Linked DNA regions of Macaca mulatta. The protein of the gene in region 2 purifies or fractionates together with the protein of the main gene of each other region. This does not show direct contact. Links are inferred from orthologs where the notes say so. Each region holds a gene or a part of one and is shown on either strand. Other genes may lie near its edges.

What was found. The genes of interacting proteins can lie anywhere in the genome.
Region 1: the proteins of RUVBL1 (region 2) and DPCD purify together in Homo sapiens (affinity purification with mass spectrometry; 6 studies listed by BioGRID and IntAct, counting the BioPlex papers as one, with this or other methods). This does not show direct contact. The link is inferred for Macaca mulatta from reciprocal best matches to the Homo sapiens genes RUVBL1 and DPCD.
Region 3: the proteins of RUVBL1 (region 2) and H2AZ1 purify together in Homo sapiens (affinity purification with mass spectrometry; 6 studies listed by BioGRID and IntAct, with this or other methods). This does not show direct contact. The link is inferred for Macaca mulatta from reciprocal best matches to the Homo sapiens genes RUVBL1 and H2AZ1.
Region 4: the proteins of RUVBL1 (region 2) and SHQ1 purify together in Homo sapiens (affinity purification with mass spectrometry; 3 studies listed by BioGRID and IntAct, counting the BioPlex papers as one, with this or other methods). This does not show direct contact. The link is inferred for Macaca mulatta from reciprocal best matches to the Homo sapiens genes RUVBL1 and SHQ1.
Region 5: the proteins of RUVBL1 (region 2) and NOP58 purify together in Homo sapiens (affinity purification with mass spectrometry; 4 studies listed by BioGRID and IntAct, with this or other methods). This does not show direct contact. The link is inferred for Macaca mulatta from reciprocal best matches to the Homo sapiens genes RUVBL1 and NOP58.

What each region holds. Positions count from the first base shown.
Region 1 is NC_133414.1:113,662,868-113,667,113, reverse strand, and holds the start of DPCD (protein DPCD), read right to left. Parts: upstream 2,801-4,246; 5' UTR 2,749-2,800; coding exon 2,685-2,748; intron 1,669-2,684; exon of another isoform or gene 1,587-1,668; intron 1,451-1,586; exon of another isoform or gene 980-1,450; intron 1-979. Other genes in the region: POLL (DNA polymerase lambda), read left to right, coding at 3,718-3,832. UniProt on the Homo sapiens protein: May play a role in the formation or function of ciliated cells.
Region 2 is NC_133407.1:155,849,047-155,854,080, reverse strand, and holds the start of RUVBL1 (ruvB-like 1), read right to left. Parts: upstream 3,325-5,034; 5' UTR 3,246-3,324; coding exon 3,105-3,245; exon of another isoform or gene 2,009-3,104; intron 685-2,008; exon of another isoform or gene 512-684; intron 1-511. UniProt on the Homo sapiens protein: Possesses single-stranded DNA-stimulated ATPase and ATP-dependent DNA helicase (3' to 5') activity; hexamerization is thought to be critical for ATP hydrolysis and adjacent subunits in the ring-like structure contribute to the ATPase activity.
Region 3 is NC_133410.1:109,266,998-109,270,842, forward strand, and holds H2AZ1 (H2A histone family, member Z), read right to left. Parts: upstream 2,642-3,845; 5' UTR 2,586-2,641; coding exon 2,583-2,585; intron 2,153-2,582; coding exon 2,075-2,152; intron 1,797-2,074; coding exon 1,683-1,796; intron 1,350-1,682; coding exon 1,220-1,349; intron 940-1,219; coding exon 878-939; 3' UTR 501-877; downstream 1-500. UniProt on the Homo sapiens protein: Variant histone H2A which replaces conventional H2A in a subset of nucleosomes. Nucleosomes wrap and compact DNA into chromatin, limiting DNA accessibility to the cellular machineries which require DNA as a template.
Region 4 is NC_133407.1:136,344,080-136,348,153, reverse strand, and holds the start of SHQ1 (protein SHQ1 homolog), read left to right. Parts: upstream 1-1,274; 5' UTR 1,275-1,349; coding exon 1,350-1,492; intron 1,493-4,074. UniProt on the Homo sapiens protein: Required for the quantitative accumulation of H/ACA ribonucleoproteins (RNPs), including telomerase, probably through the stabilization of DKC1, from the time of its synthesis until its association with NOP10, NHP2, and NAF1 at the nascent H/ACA RNA.
Region 5 is NC_133417.1:107,447,649-107,451,674, reverse strand, and holds the start of NOP58 (nucleolar protein 58), read right to left. Parts: upstream 2,801-4,026; 5' UTR 2,737-2,800; coding exon 2,692-2,736; intron 2,159-2,691; exon of another isoform or gene 1,958-2,158; intron 1-1,957. UniProt on the Homo sapiens protein: Required for the biogenesis of box C/D snoRNAs such as U3, U8 and U14 snoRNAs. Part of the small subunit (SSU) processome, first precursor of the small eukaryotic ribosomal subunit.

The DNA.
Region 1 (4,246 bases), on a different chromosome or scaffold from region 2:
CAGACATAACAATCGTAGCCCATCCACTTCATTTTACAGATGAGGAAAGTGAGATCCAAACAAGTAAAGGGGCCGACTAGAGAGCCTGTGGTGAATTAACGGCACAGCTGGAAGCATCCAACTGTGGCAACATGGATGAACCTTGAAGCATTACGCTAAGTGAAATATGCCAGTTACAAAAAGATAAATATTGTATGATTCCACTTAGATGAGGTTCTTAGAGCAGTCAAATTCATAGAGACGGAAAGTCAAATGGTGGTTGCCAGGGGATGGGAGGAGGAGGGAATGAGGAGTTGGCGTTTGATTTACAGAATTTCACTTGAGCTGAGTGTAGTGGCACATGCCTGTAGTCCCAGCTATTCAAGAGGCTGAGGTGGGAGGATTACATGAGCCTAGGAGTTCAAGGCTGCAGTGAGCTATGATCGTACTACTGTACCCCACAGCCTGGGTGACAGAGCAAGACCCTGTCTCCAAAAAGAAAAAAATTTCCGTTGAGAAAGATTAAAAAGTTCTGAAGATGGTGGTGATAGTTGCACAACAATGTGAATGCACTTAATGCCACAGAACTGTACACTTAAAAATGATTAAAATGCTAAATTCTGTGATGTATTTATTACCACAATAAAAACAGAAAACCACTGTCCTATGAGAAAATGTCCTAAATATTTAGCAAGGCATAAGAAATCTATCACAATATGTCCTAATTTATCTGTAACCTCTCTTCATTTTCCACAACATCCCCTTATTGCTGCTTGAGAAAAGGGACCTTTTTATTCTCCCTTCTATCCTGGCATGTAGCATAGTACCTGACATAGTTACAGGTGGTTTGTTCTGACTGGGTGACTGCTTTAACATTACTAAACGTTTTGTTACTCCCCTAGTAATCAGGCACGTACCTTCACACCTTTACATATGGGCCCTTATATGTGAGTCGTTCTTCCTTGAATAGCTATCCCCTCTTCTTCACTCAGCAAACACCTATTTTAATTCTTTTTTTTTTCCTGTTTTTTTTTTTTTTTTGAGACAGGGTCTCGCTGTGTCGCCCAAGCTGGAGTGCAGTGGCATGATCTCGGCTCACTGCTGCGTCTACCTCCCTGGCTCAAGTGGTCCTCTGGCCTCAGCCACAAGGTAGCTGGGACTACGGGGCATGTACCGTGATGCCCGGCTAATTTTTGTCTTTTGTTTGTTTGTTTTTTGTCTGAGACAGAGTCTTACTCACTTGTCACCCAGGCTGGAATGCAGTGGTGCAATCTCAGTGCACTGTAACCTCCGTCTCCCGGGTTCAAGCGATTCTCCTGCCTCAGCTTCCAGAGTAGCTGGAATTACAGGTGCACACCACCATGCCTGGCTAATTTTTTTGCATTTTTAGTAGACATGGGGTTTCATCATCTTGGCTAGGCTGGTCTCGAACTCCTGGCCTCAAAGGATCCGCCCACCTCAGCCTCCCAAAGTGCTGGGATTACAGGCGTGAACCACCACACCTGGCCATAATTTTTGTATTTTTTGAAGAGATGAGGTTTGGCCATGTTGCCCAAGCTGGTCTCGAACTCCTGAGCTCAAACGATCCACCCGCCTCAGCCTCCCAGAGTGCTGGAATTACCGGCGTGAGCCACTATGCCTGGCCTTATTAATTCTTCAGGACCCAGAAACATCATCACTTCTGTTGGGTCTTCTTCCAAAGACATGTCGCTTACACCTTCACTCTTTCCTACCATTTTATACAAGACTACAACCTCTATTTAACACATCTTATTACTTAAATACATGTTTTTCCCAACCAGTCCAAGTCCTGTGACAACATATCTTTTTCTTTCTGTTCTAGTTTAGAGCTTGGCACATAGTAAAAGCCTCCCTAAATGTTGCACGAACGAGTAAATGATTTTAATTTCCACAAACTCCAGGCTTCCCTGATTGGCCTCTGCCTGTGAATGTGAATCACCAGCTATTATCTTGAAAGTCTCAGGAACTTCAGACACAATTCATCCTGGTTACCCAGTGGGTCCAGAAAGGACCCAAGTGCACAGGGGGCTGACATCGGCCAATCCTAGGGTGAGGAAAAGTTAGATATCCATGCCCCTGTGCCCACTTCTTCCATGCACAGCCCTTGGTCCTTGCTCTAGCTCCCCTTAAGACACAGAAAACATTTAGAGGTTCACTTAACAAAAATATTACAGCTGGAAAGGACCTCAGAGATAACAACGGTAGTCCATCCACTTAATTTTACAGATGAGGAAAGTGAGGCCCAAACAAGTAAAGGTGCCGACTGGAGAGCCCGTGGTGAATTAATGGCACAGTCGGAACTAGAGCCCAGGCCTCTCTCCTCTCTAAAGTCCAAAACATTCTTGGATTTCAGTTTCCTCTTCTGTAAAACGGGGTGGAAAATTAGCCTCTCAGGACAGTGGTGAGGAGCAAATGAGATAACGAATGTAAAAGAAATTACTATATTAGCAACAGAACTCAGAGCGGGGCGAGATGGTGTAGAGAAATTTAAGGGGTGTCCGGAGACATGTGTTCTGGTCATGTCATCTCTGTGAGCCTTAGTCTCCTCATCCGCAAATGCAGGACCTGGCCCGGCTGACCACCGAGACCCTTCCAGCTCTGCCGACCCAGGCCCTGAGGCCCTTCCCGGAGGGCCGGACCCTGGGGGAAAAAAACGAAGGAGCTCGCGGGGACCCTCGAGTTACCGTCCTGCAGCAGTGCAGTCTTCTGGGCTGTCCGCAGACTCTCCAACCAGCCCGTCACCGCCATCTTTCCTGTGCTAAGCAGCCCGCCCGGCCGCTGCCATGGCAACCGTTCCACTGAAGGTCACTTCCGGCTGACTCGGAAGCTATTCTGGGCATTTGCCCTCCTTCCCCCCTTCGTCCGTTCTCATTGGCTCTCCTGGTAAGTGGCCTACTCCTGCCCACCCTCGGGTGACCAACTTGGCCTGTTGTCGACCGCACCCGGGGACTGACTCTGGCGGTTGGAGAGAGACTCTTGGCGCCGGGGTTGGGCACTCCAACTCTCTACTAGCCCCGAGCTGGGATTCCCTGGCCTGCGCCAGCTGCGTACAGGGCGAGTACACCACACCTGCCTGGGTCTTCACCCCCAGCTGCGAGACTCCTCCATTCCCGGAGGGCTCCCCACACCTGCTGCGGCCGTGCCCCATCTCCCCGCAGCTGCGGCGCTGAGCATCCCCATGTCGAGAGGCTGAGACCAGGGCAGGTGCAGGGCGTTCCCACTCACCCGCGAAAGTCCGCCTCCTCAGGTTTTCCTCTGCAAGTCTGTGTTGGAGGTAGAAAAAGAGTATGTGGAGTTTATGTGCAGGTCCTCCCCAGTCTCCGCTCCATCCCCTAAAGCTCCATTTCCTAGCCCAGCATCCCATTTTGGTAAAGCCCTTCGAAGTGGGCCGCAGCAGGAGGGCTGTGCTGAATCTTTAGAGCAACCCCTTTGAGGAATGGGTATAGTTTCCTACTCCTTAAAAGTACCCCCGATGGCTCCAGCCTTCCCCTCATTTCCCCTAATACTCCAACTTTGAAAGACTGGGGAGTGTGAAGCTAGGCTAAAAAGCTAGTTTAACAGGGTTTGAAGAGATCCCCCCCAACCTCCCGCTTCCCCAAACTGGGCTGCTACCCCCTACCTCCATAGGCAAAGGGGTTGGAGATCCTTAATTCTGTATTTCCACCTGACAGCAGCCCTGACCAACCCTCCAACAGGCTGGGATGCAGCCGTACTTCAATGGATCCCAGGGGTATCTTGAAGGCGTTTCCCAAACGGAAGAAAATTCATGCTGATGCATCATCAAAAGTACTTGCAAAGATTCCCAGGAAGGAAGAGGGAGAAGAAGCAGAAGGTGAGATGACCCACTCTCAGAACCCTCATGCGCTTGAACCCTCAGCCTTCATGTGCTTCAGCCCTATGTTGTTCATGTCCAGAATCAGATATTGGAGCTGACTCTGCCTGTCCATGGACTGCAGGTCTGTTTGTATCTGCCTTGTACTAAGCTTGGTCCTGGGTCTTGGACAGGCCATTTGCTGTGTTATCTTCTTTTCTACCTGAACACCCCTATCAATTGGAAAAGACTCCCTGGACCCTCAGGGAATGACCAGTATAATTTTTGCCCTGGGGGACTGGGACAGAAACCCCCCTCCATTACCCAGGATTGTTGTTAGTTGTTTTGCAGCCAAATTGATAAATAAATAGCAGAGGCTTTGGAGGCAGGGTTGTCGGGTCTGTCAGAGTGTAAGGGCAAGAAATGTGCATTGTT
Region 2 (5,034 bases):
ATACACATATTCCATAAATGGGCTACGGACCATCATATATTTTAGAATATTTGACTATAAGGGGGGAACACTGAGAAAGTTACACTAGCTGAGCATCTATATCTCAAGACTGCATAATATAAGGTTTGCTACACTGATTTAATAACTGAATATGTGACTATCTAAAAGGTGCTCTTCTCTCTGGGCAGTGACCACACTGCCAGAGTCTTGTGAATACATCTTACCTCTTCTACCTCTATTCCTCATGGACAGTGAAGTACCTTGGTCTCACACTTATAGCAGCCCCTCAAAAAATATGTCAGGACTACAGGTGCCTGCCACCACACCCAGCTAATTTCTTGTATTTTTAGTAGAGATGAGGTTTCACCGTGTTAGCCAGGATGGTCTCAATCTCCCGACCTTGTGATCCGTCTGCTACTGGGGAGGTTGAGGCAGGAGAATGGCGTGAACCTGGGAAGTGGAGCTTGCAGTGAGCCAAGATGGCGCCACTGCACTCCAGCCTGGGCGACAGAGTAAAGCTCCCTCTCAAAAAAAAAAAAAAGAAAAGTAAGGAATATGTGTGTGTATGCTATATCCATCCCATTTCCACTTCAGTTACCAAAGCACACTGCCCTTAATAGAACCTAGAAGATATTCTTCAGATGCTACTTTTTCAGATGGAGTCTCACTGTCACCCAGGCTGCAGTGCAATGGCGCAATCTCAGCTCACTGCAACCTCCGCCTCCCAGGATCAAGTGAGTCTCCTGCCTCAGCCTCACGAGTAGCTCAGACTACAGGCACATGCCACCACACCTGGCTAATTTTTGTATTTTTAGTAGAGACAGGATTTTGTTATGATGGCCAGGCTGGTCTCGAACTCCTGACCTCAGGTGATCCACTTGCCTTGGCCTCCCAAAGTGCTGGGATTACAGGTGTGAGCCACTGCGCCCAGCCCAGATGCTATATTTCTAAACAGATAAAAAGCCTAGCCAGGCGCGGTGGCTCATGCCTGTAATCCCAGCACTTTTGGAGGCCGAGGCGGGTGGATCACCTGAGGTCAGGAGTTCAAGACCAGCCTGGTCAACAAGGTGAAACCCTGTCTCTACTAAATATACAAAAATTAGCCGAGCATGGTGGTGGGCGCCTGTAATCATGGCTACTCACGAGGCTGAAGCAGGAGAATCACTTGAACCCGGGAGGCAGAGGTGGCAGTGAGCCGAGATCGCACCATTGCACTCCAGCCTGGGCAACAAGAGCGAAACTTCATCTCAAACAAAAACAAAAACAAAAACAAAAAAACCTACTATGATCTTTCCATACAACCTTGTCATATAATCCTCAGCACTGAAGCTCTTTGGAAAACTCAAGGTAGAAGAGACTTTACAAACCTTGGATATGTGCTTTTATTTACAGACCAGGACCTCTTCCATCTATTCTCCCTCAGTTTCCACTCCAACTTCTCTCAGGTGAGATAAGCTTGAATTCTAACATTTAAAAAGAATTGGAAGGGTCTTTAAATGATCACCTAGTCTAACTCTCATTTTTCAGGTTACTGATGTGACCAGAATCACACAAGAACCTGGTAGCTGAGGTGGGTCTTAAGCATACAACATCAGTTAAGAGCATGGACTCTGGGATTAAATACATAGACTTGAGTTAAAATACTCTCCCACTTACCAGATGAGTAACCTTGGACCTACTTACTTGACCTCTATGAACCAGAATTTCCTCACTTGAACAGAGTTCATACTAGTCAATGGCACACATGTTAAAGGGTGTAGGGGTGAAGTGTAGTGATGCCTGCAATTCACCTTGAAATGTAAAAGTGGATTGGGAGAGGCACACATGGAAAGATATATGATAAAGCAGCATAGTAAAATGTTAATCATAGAATTTAGGTACACAGGTACTTACTATACAAGTCTTTCAACTTTTTTTGTATGTCTGAAAACTGTCATACTAACGCAGGGAAGGGACAACTAATTCGTTGGATATGACAAGGCAATGGACACACAGCTACTTAGCACAGTGCTTGGCACATGGAAAGCACTCAACCAATGTTAGCTACTTGCAGTAATAGCTGCTTAGTAAGACAGGGTCAAACACTTCCTTTTTGGAAAGATGATGCTCAAAATGGAAACCCGAGGTTTTTCTTTTGAGCCCTTTCTATTTAGAAAAATCAGGCTAAGAGGCAGTAGCTTAACTTTGTATTAAGTGAAGATTTTTGTACAAGCTAAGGCTCTGCAAAGGCCAAGGGGCATGGCTGTGACCTCAGACAACAGCAGGCAGAGAGAGTGGCTATGTCATCATAGAGCACTGATTTGGGAGTCAGAAATACATGTGAGCGCAAATCCCCGCTTTACCATTACTAAAACGAGTGTCAAGTATATGGTGAAGTGCCCTCTCCCCAACTCAATATTTTCACCTGCCAAAAACCAATAATGTATGTGAAAGTACTTGGCATCACTAGCACTCAGAAAAAGGAGATTTAATTGGAATGGTCAAAAAGGATGCTTGGAGGGATAAATAAACCAGATTGCTCTTCTCCCTAATTCCCACTTCTCTCCCTCAGCTCCCGGGTCCTGGGAACCAAAACGAGCTTTTAAAGTTTAGTCAATTCCCTACTTTAAACCGTCCCACGGCCTGCCAGTGCGTTCACAATAAAATCCAATTTCCTTACCGTGGCCGACAAAGTTCTGCAGTAACTAACCCCACCAAGATAATCATTTTTGTTTATTGATGTACACGTTTATCGTCTCTCACTACACTAAAATGTAACCTCCTATCTTATCTCCCGCTGTATCCCGGGAAATAAGTGTCGCGAATAGAGCTCAGCATGGATTAAGGGGACGGGGTTGTGTGGGTTTCCATTAGTACTTGTCCATGAGTTGAAGCAAACCGTCAACTGGCCCCAGTGGGTGGTCATTAGTTTTCCTGGGGCGGCCCCTCACCCAGCTCCAGGGCGGCGCCCCTCCCCGAGCCCCTGGCCTATTTTCACTTCCCTGAGGCAACTATGGCGGGAGACCCCTGGCGCGCGCATCCCGCCCCGAGCCACCGACTTCAGCAGCTCTCTCGCCGCAGCAGCCCTGCTCGGAGCCCCCAACTCCCTGGTCCGCTGGCCACACCTCTCGCGCGTTCTCCTGGCCCACGAGCCCTGAGGCCGCCTGCTTGGCCAAGCCGCTCTCGTCCAGCCCCAGCCCTTTCACGTGGCTGTGGGAAGCGATGCGCTGCGTTTTCGTGGTGCTCTTCACCTCCTCAATTTTCATTTTGCGGACGCCGGGAGCTAAAACCAGCGTGGAAAACCAGCAGATAGGACAGTGCGCCCAGCGCCCGAGTTACCATGCGGCCGTTACTAGGGCAATTTGCAAAGGCCCGCCTAGGTTGGCCTTCCATTGGTGGAAGCGGGAACGCCTCCGCTCTCCATAGGCTCACGGCTGCGCCCATCGCGGCTGCTGCTGGAGCTCCAGTCACTCACTTCCGGCTGTGTCTCTGGGTTGGCTTCCCCCGCAGCCGGCGCTTCCTGCCCAGGCTGGGGTCGGTAGCACAGTGGGACCACGCCCCGGATTTGATTTCGGGCTGGGGCGTTGCACGAGGTAGTGGCCCCCGGGTACCACTCCTAATCCTTCCGTCCTATCCATTATCACGTTTGAACGTCATACTCTTACGCGAAGCTCAAGTTATTATTTCCGTTTTGGAAATAGAAGAACTGAGGTTCAGAGCTTAAACTGAGATTGGTTACTAACCAATGTTTTCTGACTCCCAGACCTTTGCATCTCGTCTGGAAAGGCCCAGCGCAACCCACCACTCCTTCCGTGGAATTGTCTTCCCCTGCTTCTAATCTCCATCCTCCGCCGAGAGATAAGGTTCCTGCTAAGTTCAGTTCAGTTGACTGTAAATAACATTTTGCAGTTTTCAAAACTCTACAGCCCTGTAAGGTAGTGTAATTACGAATGCAGCTACAGACAAGCAGAAAGAGGCCCATCCGCCCAAGAAAGCACCACAAAGAATCAGAACTAGAAATCTTCAGGCTTCAAAACCTATATAATAATGCTCATACTGTCCCATTATTTCAGCTGAGACAATCAGCCAGCAAATTGTCCCTTCAGGTTTCATAATGATATTCGCACAACCTGCACCACAATTGTACTTGTCATCCATCCATCCATCCATCCATTTAACAAACACGAGCCAGACACCACAATGCACTGGGGATACAGGGATAAAAGTCTTGATGAGCTTACTCCTTGCTTAGAAAACTTGTAACATGAGATGTGGTGAGACAGGTACACCCAGGTGGCAAGAAGACCAGAGCAGAAGCCCCAGGAACAGCCTGGAGAGCCAGGGAAAGCACCATGAAGGTGATGTTGCCTTGGCTGAATTCTGACAAATGGGCGAGATTTCCTCAGAAGCAAATGGTATGACACCATTTTTACAGAAGAAGATACTAACATCCAGAGGAAGGGAAGGACTTGCCCAGAGTGCAGGAGAGTTTATATTAGAATTGAGACAGACCTGAAATCACACTTCCTTGTACATCTTGATTCTAAGTTTTGAATCTAGGTTTCTATATTTTTTTTCTTTTCTTTTGAATCTAGGCTTCTAGTGATTTGCATAATTACTGGGTCAATGTTTGTCTCTCCCAGTAAACTGCAGGCCTTTTGAGGGTGTAGACCACATTTGATTGTTTACCATTTTAACCTAAGTGCCTGGCACACAGCCTAAAACACAGCTCACAATTAAGGCTTCTCATGAATTCAATTAATGTTCTAGACCACACACAAACACATACACTTGAATTTATCAGTTTTGCTGCATGTATTTTATACGGTGGCTTTTGTAGGTCTTGGTAATGATTTCCATCAGAGAATGGAATCTTCTGGCATTTTCAGGGCCCAAAAGAACAGAGGCTCAGGCGGCCTTGGAAGGCTGAGGTTGTTACTAGTGGCATGTGGTTCATCAGCACTAGAGACAGCACCTCACAAAGTTGCTTAGCCCCTCATTGACTTGTTCCTGGTCATTACTCTTAGATAAGAAGCAATTCCTTTTTCTGTATGG
Region 3 (3,845 bases), on a different chromosome or scaffold from region 2:
AAGCTGTTAATTCCAACTACCACCAGAACTCGGTACTTTCAAATAAGAAAGCCTGCTTCTCTTCAATAAAATGGAGATAGTATATCCCCAATGATGTTACTGAGCACTTAACAATTTCAATTTCAGACTTCAAAGCAGGGCCTAGCACGTAGCACTATTAGCTTCAGAGTTTAAATTCGGAGTTCATTATGTGGATATACAGGACATTCCTACCTATTCTCTCCCTCCCCAAGTCCACCACACTAACAGCATACTAGTGCAGTGCTGTCACACAGCAAGCAAAGTCAATGCACAAACTGAAATGCTCCCACTCCAGCTCCTGACAACTTTTTAAATTAAAACTTTAGTAGCTTATTATATAACATTAAAAATATATACTTGGTCTATCTCACTTTGTTGATCTAGATTTGACAGGTCAGTCACAAAGAAATGTGCTTAGTTATTGCTGCTAGATATTCAAAACAAATTCATATTACAATCAAGCCAATTTAATACACAACTAGTTTGGGATATGACCTTTATTGAGCTTATCCACCAGAGTGGAAATAATGTCTGTACAAAACCAAATGTTTGTTACTATAACTTCTGCATCACAATTAAAATCCAAACAGTTTTTTAAAAACAGTCAACTCAATCAAAACCCACTACTTCAGAATCAATAGCTTCTTTGAAGCCACAGTAACACTTAAATATGGTTAAGACTCGAATGCAGAAATTTGGTTGGTTGGAAAGCTAATTAAACTTCCAACTTGCTCAAATAGAATTACAAAAAGGCAAAATTGTGTTTTTCACAGAGATACAGTCCACTGGAATCACCAACACTGGACAGCTGTTAGAGTATTTAGAGTCCTGAGATAACAAGGAATCCAGGCATCCTTTAGACAGTCTTCTGTTGTCCTTTCTTCCCAATCAGAGATTTGTGGATGTGTGGAATGACACCTAGGAGAGTGACAGGAATTAATTCTACTTAAGATTTTTTTTTTAAAATCACAGTATTTGAAACCAAAAAAAGTATACTGTTCAAGTATCTTTAAAAACGTGCAGCTCAAGTATGAAGTAAAAATTCAGTTATACATATGAATCAAATTTCATGATAAAACCATACTTGCATCAATGAAAATATACTTAAATTTTCTCTTCTAGAAAAACTAATGAAATTAAAGCAGCAAAGAATTCCTTCCTCTGAAGAAATTTTTAAAAATTTTAGAAGTTAACATACCACCACCAGCAATTGTAGCCTTGATGAGCGAATCCAATTCTTCATCTCCACGAATAGCAAGTTGCAAGTGACGAGGGGTAATACGCTTTACCTTTAAGTCTTTTGATGCATTTCCTGCCAGTTCAAGTACCTAGAAGGCAGAATCTAATCAGTTCCCTTCCAACTTTCCTTTGGCCAAGATTCAGAGAACAGAATAAAACCCTCACAAACGCTTATCTACCAACTGGAGTCGTTCCCCACTATCTGACTGGCAAGATATACAGGGGGCACGCAATTTTAATTCCAAGAGCAGAGAACTCAAGCTCAGTAGGATCCTTGTTGAACAGCAGCTCCCTCTAGCGTTCTCTTAGGCCTCTCGCCGCGTTCAGGGCCTGTGAGTTTTCTTGCATCACTTTCCTCCTTCCCTCTTGCCGTCTCCCCGCCCCCCAAACCTTCTCCGGATTATAGGCGTTCACCCATTTACCTCTGCGGTGAGGTACTCCAGGATGGCTGCGCTGTACACAGCGGCAGTCGCGCCCACACGTCCATGACTGGTCGTCCTAGATTTCAGGTGTCGATGAATACGGCCCACTGGGAACTTAAATTTTAAGCATACACAAACATAAATGCACAAAAATAGGAGAACTAGAGATGGGGAAATTATATGCGCGCCAAAGCAAGTGGCACGGGCGCAGCAACGCGTCCCGACATCGAAACACGTGATTCCTCCCCCCCATATTTATCGTATGGGCAGCCCAAGTCGCGACACCGCATCACCCACGCATAGACGAAACGCCCATGGAGAGCGGTGAATAACAAAAAAGGAGATGCAAAGAAAAACATCACGACTCCCAGACCGCACGAACAACTACTGACCTGCAAGCCGGCTCTCTGCGAGCGGGAAACCGCCTTTGTCTTGGCCTTTCCGGAGTCCTTTCCAGCCTTACCGCCAGCCTGCGGCGCGCACACGCCCGCGAGCGGAGGAGGAACGGAGAATATAGAATTACCAAGGCGGCGCGCCCATCCCCCACCGCGGCGCGTCCCGCCGCGAGCGCGTCCCCGCACCCCGCCGGGGTCTCTGGCCCGCGGCGCGCCGCAGGGGCGACCCCGCCCGTCCGCCCCCCGCCGCGCGCTCGCCGCGGCCGCGCGCCTCCGCCCGCCCGCCGGCCCCCAGCGGCGCTGCGCGCGCCACCCAACCGTCGCCGCCCGCCGCGAGATCCGAGGCTGCTCCGCTAGCAGCCGACAAAACACCTCCCCCCGCTCTTCTTAATCCTGTCTCCGCGCGTTCCCAACCGTCGCCACTTCACCCCCATCCCCCGTGTAACGGGTTTTTCTCCCGCCGGCAAAAACCCGCGAAGTCATCGAGCGTCTCTGCGAAGTTTACCATTTCGAATTCTGCTGAAGCTCAAGCAAGCAAGGCAGAGAAAAGGCTAATCGGACCCACGGTGAGATCCCACCACCTACTCCTTCGTCGCACCGCGATTCAAACTGCGCTGTCTCCCGCCTTCCCTGCTCCCTTTATACTGCAGAATGTTCCCTCATCCGGGAACTCGGATTGCTCATCCCACCAATGGCTGCCACCCGCCCTCGGGACGCGTCCTTGAGACTTCAGCCAATGAGCAAGCAAAGAAAAGGGTGGAGGGGCGGGCGCTTCTAAGCTCAAGCCGCGATTGGGACGTGAGGAGCGAAGCGGGGGAGGGCGGAGGGATGGGAACGGGGGAGAAGAAGGGCACCGCGGCGGGAGGGAAGAAACAGAGCAAGCTACTCTGCGGGAGCGCAGTTACCAGCCAGCTGCGGTCACGTGCCGGGGAGGAGGAGCTGAGACCTCAGGGGAGGGGCGCGCGGTAGCGCCCCGGGTCCCCTAGCAGGGCTTTGGAGACCACGTGAAGTCTCGTCCGTATCTAGCACGCAGCCCCCACCGCTCCCAACCCCACCCCCAGCGCCTCTCGGGCGGAGACCTGCGACCTGCAGCCGCCTTCCGGGGCCCCGGGCACCCTCTCCCGACCCTCTCAATCCCTGGCGGCTCTTCCAGTCTGACAGGTGGCGCGAACGCGTCCAGTGAGGGGAGGCTGAGGTTTGCCCTGACGCCTTCCTCAGCCTTAGTAGAGATTCCGTGTTTCTTCCCTCTAGGCGAATCCCCAGTCACCAACAACAGATCAGGACGGGTTGCTCCCACTTTATTTTCAGCCGGGTCTTCCACCTCTCCCTCACTACTTATGAAATCCCCCACGGAATAGTTCTGTAACAGCAAACGGTGAAGCCAAGTCACCTCACTGGTCACGAAACCCTTTTTGTTTACACTTAAGGAGCTTCTGGCGAGGCAGTATTCTTAAATCATAAACCGTATTTTTTGGAGACTACACATCAATGAGTTGTACCTGTAGCCTGATGTGTAAAGCTCATTTAGTGAAACCTCAGAGCTATTATGTGTCAACTTTTCTACAATAAATATTTTGCCACATGACAAATGTTCGGCAAATGTCGACGGAGTAACTCTGACATGATTCACAGGCAGTTACAGAGGGTCGGTGCAATGCAATCAACTGCAAATGATGAGGTTAAAATAATGATACTGTACACACAGTACTATCCTTCCAACTAGTAGATTATTAACACCTACGTATATCTCCAGCTGCTTGGGGACAGT
Region 4 (4,074 bases), about 20 Mb from region 2:
TGCTGCAGTGCTAGCACATAGTAAGTATTCAGTTAATGTTAGCCCGTTATTTTTTTTTTCTGAGTCCTAATGAAATTTCAACAATGTTTCCTTAGAATCATAAAACAGTTGGAGATTGAAAAGTCTTTTGAAGTTTTCTGGTTATCTCCACTGTCCTAGGATATGACTTTCATCTCCTTTCCACTGATACTTAAAACCATGGAATAAATACCGCAACTGGATTATTCTAATTAGTGGTGGAATAACAGGAAACGACATGTGTGGAAAGACCAAGGGAATATGTGGGGGAAGAGGGAGACTAGTGGGAGAGGCACGGAGAGAGTATAAGGGGCACACTCCAAGGGGAGAAAATACAGGGAAGACAAGTAGGAAAAAAAAAAAAAAACAAAACACAGAAAAGATGTCCTCAGACAAGTGTAAGGACAAGAGTGAGAAAAAGGAAAGAAGGGGAATACAGAGGGATCTTAATTTGTGAATGCAATCACCGACACGGTGTAAGAGGCAAACGTTCTGAGTTCTAATCACTGTAAAATGCATGGTTATAAAATATACTCTTAACCTCTGTGAGTCGTTTTCTTTAGAGTTTGCAGCGTGGATTAGATGAGATTAGTGGGATGGATGATCTGTTAAAGAGAAAACTCTTCAAATAAGCGGTTAAGAATGAGAGAGAAAGCTGCAGAAAAAGAGAAGTGGAAAGAGAGAGGGAGGAAAGGGAAAGTGTAAGAGGAATTGTTAATAAGGCAGGTGAGGACTAAGGGAAACCACTGTAACGGTGCTGCTGTGGCTACTGCGGTGACTACTTCAGCACATCAAACGTTGACAACTTGCCAAGTTCGTTATTAGAGTTCTACATGCACAACTTCATGCTACCCTCATAGCATCTCTATGGGGCCAGGTTCTCGTATCATCCTCGTTTCACAGAAGATATAGAGAGGTTTTGTAACTTTCCCAAGGTCTTACAGCTGGGAAGTTGTGGCCAGGAAGGGATTCAAACGCACGTCTGTCCACCTGCCAAGCCAGTGTTGTTAAAATCATCTCTAAAAACCTCGCAAAAGGCTTGGTTGCTAGTCATCCGGTCGGTCCAATGCCTGGGCCCAGGCACCACTCGCCACGTCCTTTCTCCTCCCGGCGGTTTCGAAAGTTCCACCTCTTCTCGAACGGCGTCCCGTCTCCGTGGAGATCGGCGTGGGGCGGGACTTCCTGCCCCACGCGAGAGCACTTCCGCCTCGAGCCGGAAGCTCTGTGGCTCACACCGCGGGTTCCTGCGCGTGGGGAATTGTAGAGTTTGCGTGGCGGGAACGCGGCGGCAGTGAGAGCGAGTGGCGCCGGCTGTTGCGTCCGGTGCGGCGATGCTGACCCCGGCGTTCGACCTCAGCCAGGATCCGGACTTCCTGACCATCGCCATCCGCGTGCCCTACGCCCGGGTCTCCGAGTTCGACGTCTACTTTGAGGGGTCCGACTTCAAGTTCTACGCCAAGCCCTACTTTCTCAGGCGAGTTCTGGGTGCCTGGCCGCAGGAAAGGCGCATTCGTTAGATAGCGGCTTTAGAGGGAGAATGCAAGGTCGAGAGAGCAGTTCTCGATTGCGCGAATGCCATTTCCCGACGTTTCCACAGCTTCTCTTGGTGACAGGGCAATGCCCTCCCTCTTCCAGGGGTGCGTTTTAGATGCTGCAGAAGCCCTTTTCCTTCTTAAGCTTTCTTAAATCCCACATCAAAGGATTGCGGAATCACTTGAAAAAGTGGCGTTTGGACCGTGTCACTTGCCCGTTTCTGCCCTGTCGCCCTAGTTCTCGTTCCATTTTGACTTGTTCTGTTCTTTCACTCCGCGTTCGCTCTCCCAGTCTCTCCCTCCCTACGAACGGCGCGCGCTGACATCCCCGTGACTTCCCAACCCATCGGTCCTTTTAACTTTGCTCAGGCAGCCTTCTGTTGATCCATCTCTTGTCTGTCCCCTCCCTACTTCCTGAAATTCTTACCTTTTTTGGACCTCTTGACACCATATTAGCCTAGTTCTCGTGCTTCCCTGCTGTCTGCTGCTTCTCTGTTTGGTTTTGCCCCTGATGTGTGGTTATTTCCCCCAAGTCTTCGTGAGGGGCCGTCAGTACTTGATCTGTTTAAATTATTCTCCTTGCAGAATCGTAACCTTAGTAGCAGCTAACACTGATCACCCGCAGTGTGGTGGACAAGCAGTTCCGTTAAGTGCTTTGTAATGCCGTATCTCATTTAACTTTGACAGTGTTGCTTAGGGATAAGCACTGCTATTAACCCCATTCCACAGAACCCGCTGCTACATATTCATCGTAAAGCATTGCCAATCTTTTGTCCTTCTCTTTATCCATCCTCCTAATTTTTCTCAAGTGCAGCTGCAGCCTGCTTTTCCCACCCAAGTACTTTTGTGATACAAACCTTCTCCACCAGTCAAGGTGGTTTTTTCGCTGTTCCTGAACCAGTTTTGCTCGGATTTCCCTTATACCGTGTAACGTACCTATTTGAATATATTGCAGTTTCCAGTTTCTTAATTCACTTATTTCTTTAGTTTGTTTATTGAGTTTCAGTGTTGGGATTATTGCGCTGAACAAGACAAAGTTCTGCCCTCATGTACTTTACACTGGGGAGAGGAAAACAATAAACTAGCCGTCTACCTAATTGTGGCAGGTGCTATGAGGAGAAAGAAGTGCATGATATAGAATGAAAAGGGGCCCATATTTTATAAAGTAGTCAGGAACAGCCTTTCTGGGGAGGCGATATTTAAGCCAGGATGTGAAGAATAGGAAGATTATGGTGGTAGCAAATATTTATTGAATTTTTACTCCAGATTGGTGCTTTATACGGATTATCTCATTTGTTATTAGGAGAGTATTACAATGAGGTTTTATTATTTACCCGTTGCCGTGGATGGATTATTTATGGGCACCCCCCCAACTCTTGCCCCCAAATTCATATGTTGAAGGTCTAATTCCGGTGTCACTTCTGCTTTATTGTATTCATCAAAACAGTCCCAGAGCCTGCTGAATTTTAAGAGGAGGGGACATAGACCTTCATGGTTGGGAAGAGTGCTGTGAGATGGGCATTCTTTGAAAATACAGTTTGCCCCCAGGTGTGGTGGCTCACGCCTGTAATCTCAGCACTTTGGGAGGCCAAGGTGGGCAGATCACTTGAGGTCAGGAGTTTGAGACCAGCCTGACCAACATGGTGAAACCCCATCTCTACTAAAAATATAAAAAAATTAGCTGGGCTCGGTGGCACGCACTTGTAGTCCTAGCTACTTGGGAAGCTGAGGTGAGAGAATCATCTGAACCTGGAAGGCGAAGATTGCAGTGAGTCAAGATTGTGCTATCGCACTCCGGCCTGAGTAACAGAGCAAGACTATGTCTTAAAAAAAAAAAAATACAGTTTGCTGTGGCATACCAAGGACGAATAAAACCTGGTCCCTCTCCTTGAAGAACGGAGAGTGTAGCTGGGGAGGCACCCTGTAAGCAAATATGATTTCCTATGCAGTAAGAATTGAACTCTAGGCTTTTAGAGTTTAGGGGAAGGGAGCTGGTAATAATAGCTATTTTCTGAATGCTCACCTATTGTGCCAACCACTGAGCTCTTTGCATTTTCATTTCATGCTCATAGTAACTCATGGATAGTTACTGTTATTTCCCTCCTTTACAGAAGAGAGATTTATGATTCTTGAAGAATGATTAACTTGTACAAAGAAGGTTGTTACACATCTAGTAAATGGCAGATCTGGGAGTTAATTCAGATTCTGACACTAAAGTTAGTGTTTGTAACCATTATAACAAACTCATCCATAAACTGACTCCTTATTCTGGCTTAGAGGGATTTTCATTCTGAAAATGTATTGAAGCTTGAGGAAACCTTGGGACTAAAGGCTCTGGGCTGTTTGGGACTGTCAGGTGTTTTTGTTTTTAATTGTATTTAATGGGAAAGAAGGGGGAGGGCCATGGGAGGAAAGGAAGCTCAAATTTCAAGTTTGGAATGATACGGAGTGGGCCTGAGATGCCCTTCTGATGAGTTTAAATTATCTAGGCAATATCAGGCAGCCATAGACGTTTTTTAAAATA
Region 5 (4,026 bases), on a different chromosome or scaffold from region 2:
AAAAAATTATGCAAAGAAAGCTGATCAGTGGTTGTCTAGAGCAGGACTAACTTGAAAATGGGCAAAACTTTTTGCAACAAAGTGTACTAGAAAACTGGACTGCAACTAAAACCTACAGGCGAGTTATACAGTATGTAAAGTACCCCTAATAAAGTTAGAAAAAATATATTGCTCAGTGCCTAGGTTTTATACAGACATTTGGTATATAAACCAAAAATCTTTCTCCAAACCTTGAGAAAACGAAGTGACACAAAATGCTATGCTACACAGCTACACTGTACAATATAACCATTAAAATTCAAATAAGTTAAAATGCACTTCCTCAGTCCTATCAGTTATATCTCATGTGAAATAGTTATACGTACTAATGGCTACCACATGAGGAGCAGCCGAAGAAAGTCTGGTATGAGCAAGACTAAAATCTTATGCTGTGTGCCACGTGACACAAGGACACAGGTGTAAATTTTTTTTTTTTTTTTGAGATGGAGTCTTGCCTTGTCACCCAGGCTGCAGTGCAGTGGTGCGACCTCAGCTCACTACAACCTCTGCCTCCCAGGTTCAACTGATTCTCCTGCCTCACCCTTCTGAGTAGCTGGGATTACAGGTGTGAGCCACTGCACTCGGCCACAGGTTGAATTTTTATAATATCTTAGAATTAATCACAAAAGTTGCTTTACACAATGTCTTTATATTAATATATATACATATATATAACCCTGTTAATGAACAATAAAGTTTTGAAGTGTTTTCCTTTCGAATCGCTCTAAATACGGAAGTGGGCAGAACACTGTACCTCATGCCTGTAATCCCAGCACTTTGAGGCCAGGAGTTTGAGACCAGCCTAGGCAACATAGGGAGACTCAGTTACTTAAAAAAAAAAAAAAAAAAATTGTAGGCAGACCATTGATAAGCCAATTCCTTCCTACCATGGGAGACAACCAGTGCACTGTGCACAGTTGCTCCTCTTAACATCCGGTTCAGGACAGCATATTGTATCAATTAACGGTGAAATTCGTCGACAGACACTGACAGACCACATTGGCTAAGAGAATTTGGAGCTATGCAGAACTCTACATGAGATTTTAGATAAGATTCCAAAAAGCTGGAGAAAAGTAAAATTGACATGTTTCGTAGCTCTAAAGGGGACTAAGTAACTTAAAATCCTTAAAACTACTAACACTGCAATTACAGATAACTCCAATTAAGGTAAAAACAAGCAAAACTGCCTTTTCGGTTTTAATGATTTTATTGGTTTTCTTAAAAATAAGTATTTGACGTATCAAATGCAAACTGCATATTTTCAAATGTCAGAAGTGAAACATGGAGAACTCCGCACCCATCTAGACCTTCTGCATCCACACCACAAATGGTTTTTTTTGGTTCACAGCTAAAATTGTATTGCATTTATTTTTATCTAGCGTTTTTTGCTTTCTACCAACATATATATACGTAGAATATACATAAAACTTTATTTTTCATTGCTATATTCGCAGAGCTCAGAAAAGTGCACGGCACAAAAGGCACTCAATCTCACTCATTCTTACTGACATCTCAACAGCATCTTGCGATACGAATGTCTTACCGTTCAACCATTTCAGTGCTGACGAACTTGTCAAACTCTCCCCATGAAAACAATCAAATCTCAAATTGACATCACCAGCCCAGATTGTTTCCCCTAAGCTTCGAATTTGAAATACTGAACTGCCCGATCTACACAACTGCATTATCAGGTCTAATAAACATTGCAAGCTTTGCACAGCCCAAACCGGAAATCTTTCGTCCTTCCCCCGCAAGAAACTTTCTTAACATCTTATTTAAACCAAAACTCCAAATTCAATCTATCAGCCAATCCTTTCTGTTCTACCTTCAAAATTTCTATCGATATTTGTTTATCTCCATACCAGGCAATTTCATCTTGTCTAAATGAATGCAAAAGTATTCTTGCTGCCTTTCTTACCTCCTCGAGTCTAATCTCCACATAGCAGAGTAACCGTATTAAGACCAATTAGCAGGTCATTCCTTTGCTTAAATCCTTTCGATCGGCAGAGCACGGTGGCTCACGCCTGTAATCCCAGCACTTTGGAGGACGAGGCAGTTGGATCACTTGAGATCAGGAGTTCAAGACCAGCCTGGCCAACATGGTGAAACCCTGTCTCTACTAAAAGACAAACAAACAAACAAACAAAGCAACTAGCCAGGCGTGGTGGTGGATGCCTGTAATCCCAGCTACTCGGGAGGCTAAGGCAGGAGAATGGCTTGAACCCGGGAGACGGAGGTTGCTGTGAGCCAAGATTGCGCCACTGCACTCCAGCATGGGCAACAAGAGCGAAACTCCATCTCAAAAAACAAAACAAAACAACAACAACAAAAAAACCTTTCGATCATTCCTTAAAACATCTAGAAGAAAATCCGAATTTCCTATAACTATACTGTTAAATTCTAACACGCCTCCTGCCCACCTCTTCAACGGAGGAAATAAAATCCTTTAACGCAGAACTGGTCTCCCCAAACGGCGGGGCCACGTGTTACCCGTAACAAGGCTCTCAGATGTAAAGGCCTTCTCCCTCCTCTCAGAGCCCGGGCCATAACAGGCACCCACGCTACCCTGAGTAGTTCTGTGCTTAAGTCTTTCCCTCTCCTTGTCTGTCCAGCACCCGCCTTCCCCCTTTAACGGCTCGCTCTCCCACCTACCTTAAAGATGGCGTAGCCCACAGACGTTTCAAACAGCACCAACATGGTGAGGCCGGGTCAGGGCGCCGCACGGCCCACCACGAGCTGTGGACTCAGTTCAAAAACACCGACTACGCGGCCCCAAAAAGTCCCCTAAGCCGCGGCGGGCAAAGCACAAACGTGCTAGCCGTCCCGCAGAGAATCAGAACACGTTACCTAAGCTCTCCACGCTGTACTGGGACTAGGACGCAAGAACGCGCTTCTCCTTCTCTAAGGATTCTGGGATAGCGACGTCACTTCCGACAGAAGACTGCCGCAGAGATTGCCGTCACTTCCAGAATGTTCCCGCCACACGGGGCTGGGTCGGGAGGAGAAAGTTTGTATCGTGGGATCTAAGGACTGAACGGAGCCTTTGCGCCTTTTTTTCTTTTTTCTTTTCTTTTTGAGACGGAGTCTCGCTGTGTTACCCAGGCTGGAGTGCAGTGGTGTGATCTCGGCTTACTGCACCCTCCGCCTCCCGGGTTCAAGCAATTTTCCTGCCTCAGCCTCCGGAGTAGCTGCGACTAGAGTCACACACCACCATGCCCAGCTAATTTTTGTATTTTTAGTAGAGACAGGGTTTCAGCATGTTGGCCAGAATAGTCTCGATCTCTTGACCTCGTAATACGCCCACCTCGGCCTCCCAAAGTGCTGGAATTACAAGTGTGACCCACCGCGCCCAGCCTTTTTTTTTTTTTTTTTTTCTGTTTTGAGACAGCCTTGCTGTCCCCCAAGCTGGAGTGCAGTGCCACCATCACGACTCACTGCAACCTCCAACTCCCAGGCTCAAGCGGTCCTCTCACCTCAACCTCTCCAGCAGCTGGGACTACAGGCCTGTGCCACCACACCCAGCTAATTTTTTGTAGAGACAGGGTTTCGCTATGTTGCCCAGTTTGGTCTCGGACTCCTGACCTAAAGCGATCCTCCCACCTCGGCCTCCCAAAGTGCTGGGTTGCAGGCGTGAGCCTCCCCTAGAGATTTAAAGGGGAAAAATTTCACATTCTTATTTTGTTAACCCTCTATGAATTATATGTTTACTTTGAGAGAAGCGTGGAGCTGTCTCGGTGCCTGTCTGTCTCAGGCATCTAGAATTTGAAATGCCAGCTACTGCCCTTAGACTTTATCTCCTTTCAAGCCCTTCCTTGAGGCGAAGGCCTCAGAATGACACCATTACTGTCACTATATTTGTAAGCATTCCTGGCCATTCTGTCTGGCCAAATTAATTATTAGCACAGTTTTCTCTCAATGTTCTCCCATGTTTGCTGCATTTGTTAAAATGACCCAAGGGTGTGAATTTAGACTTTTTTCTTGGTTTTT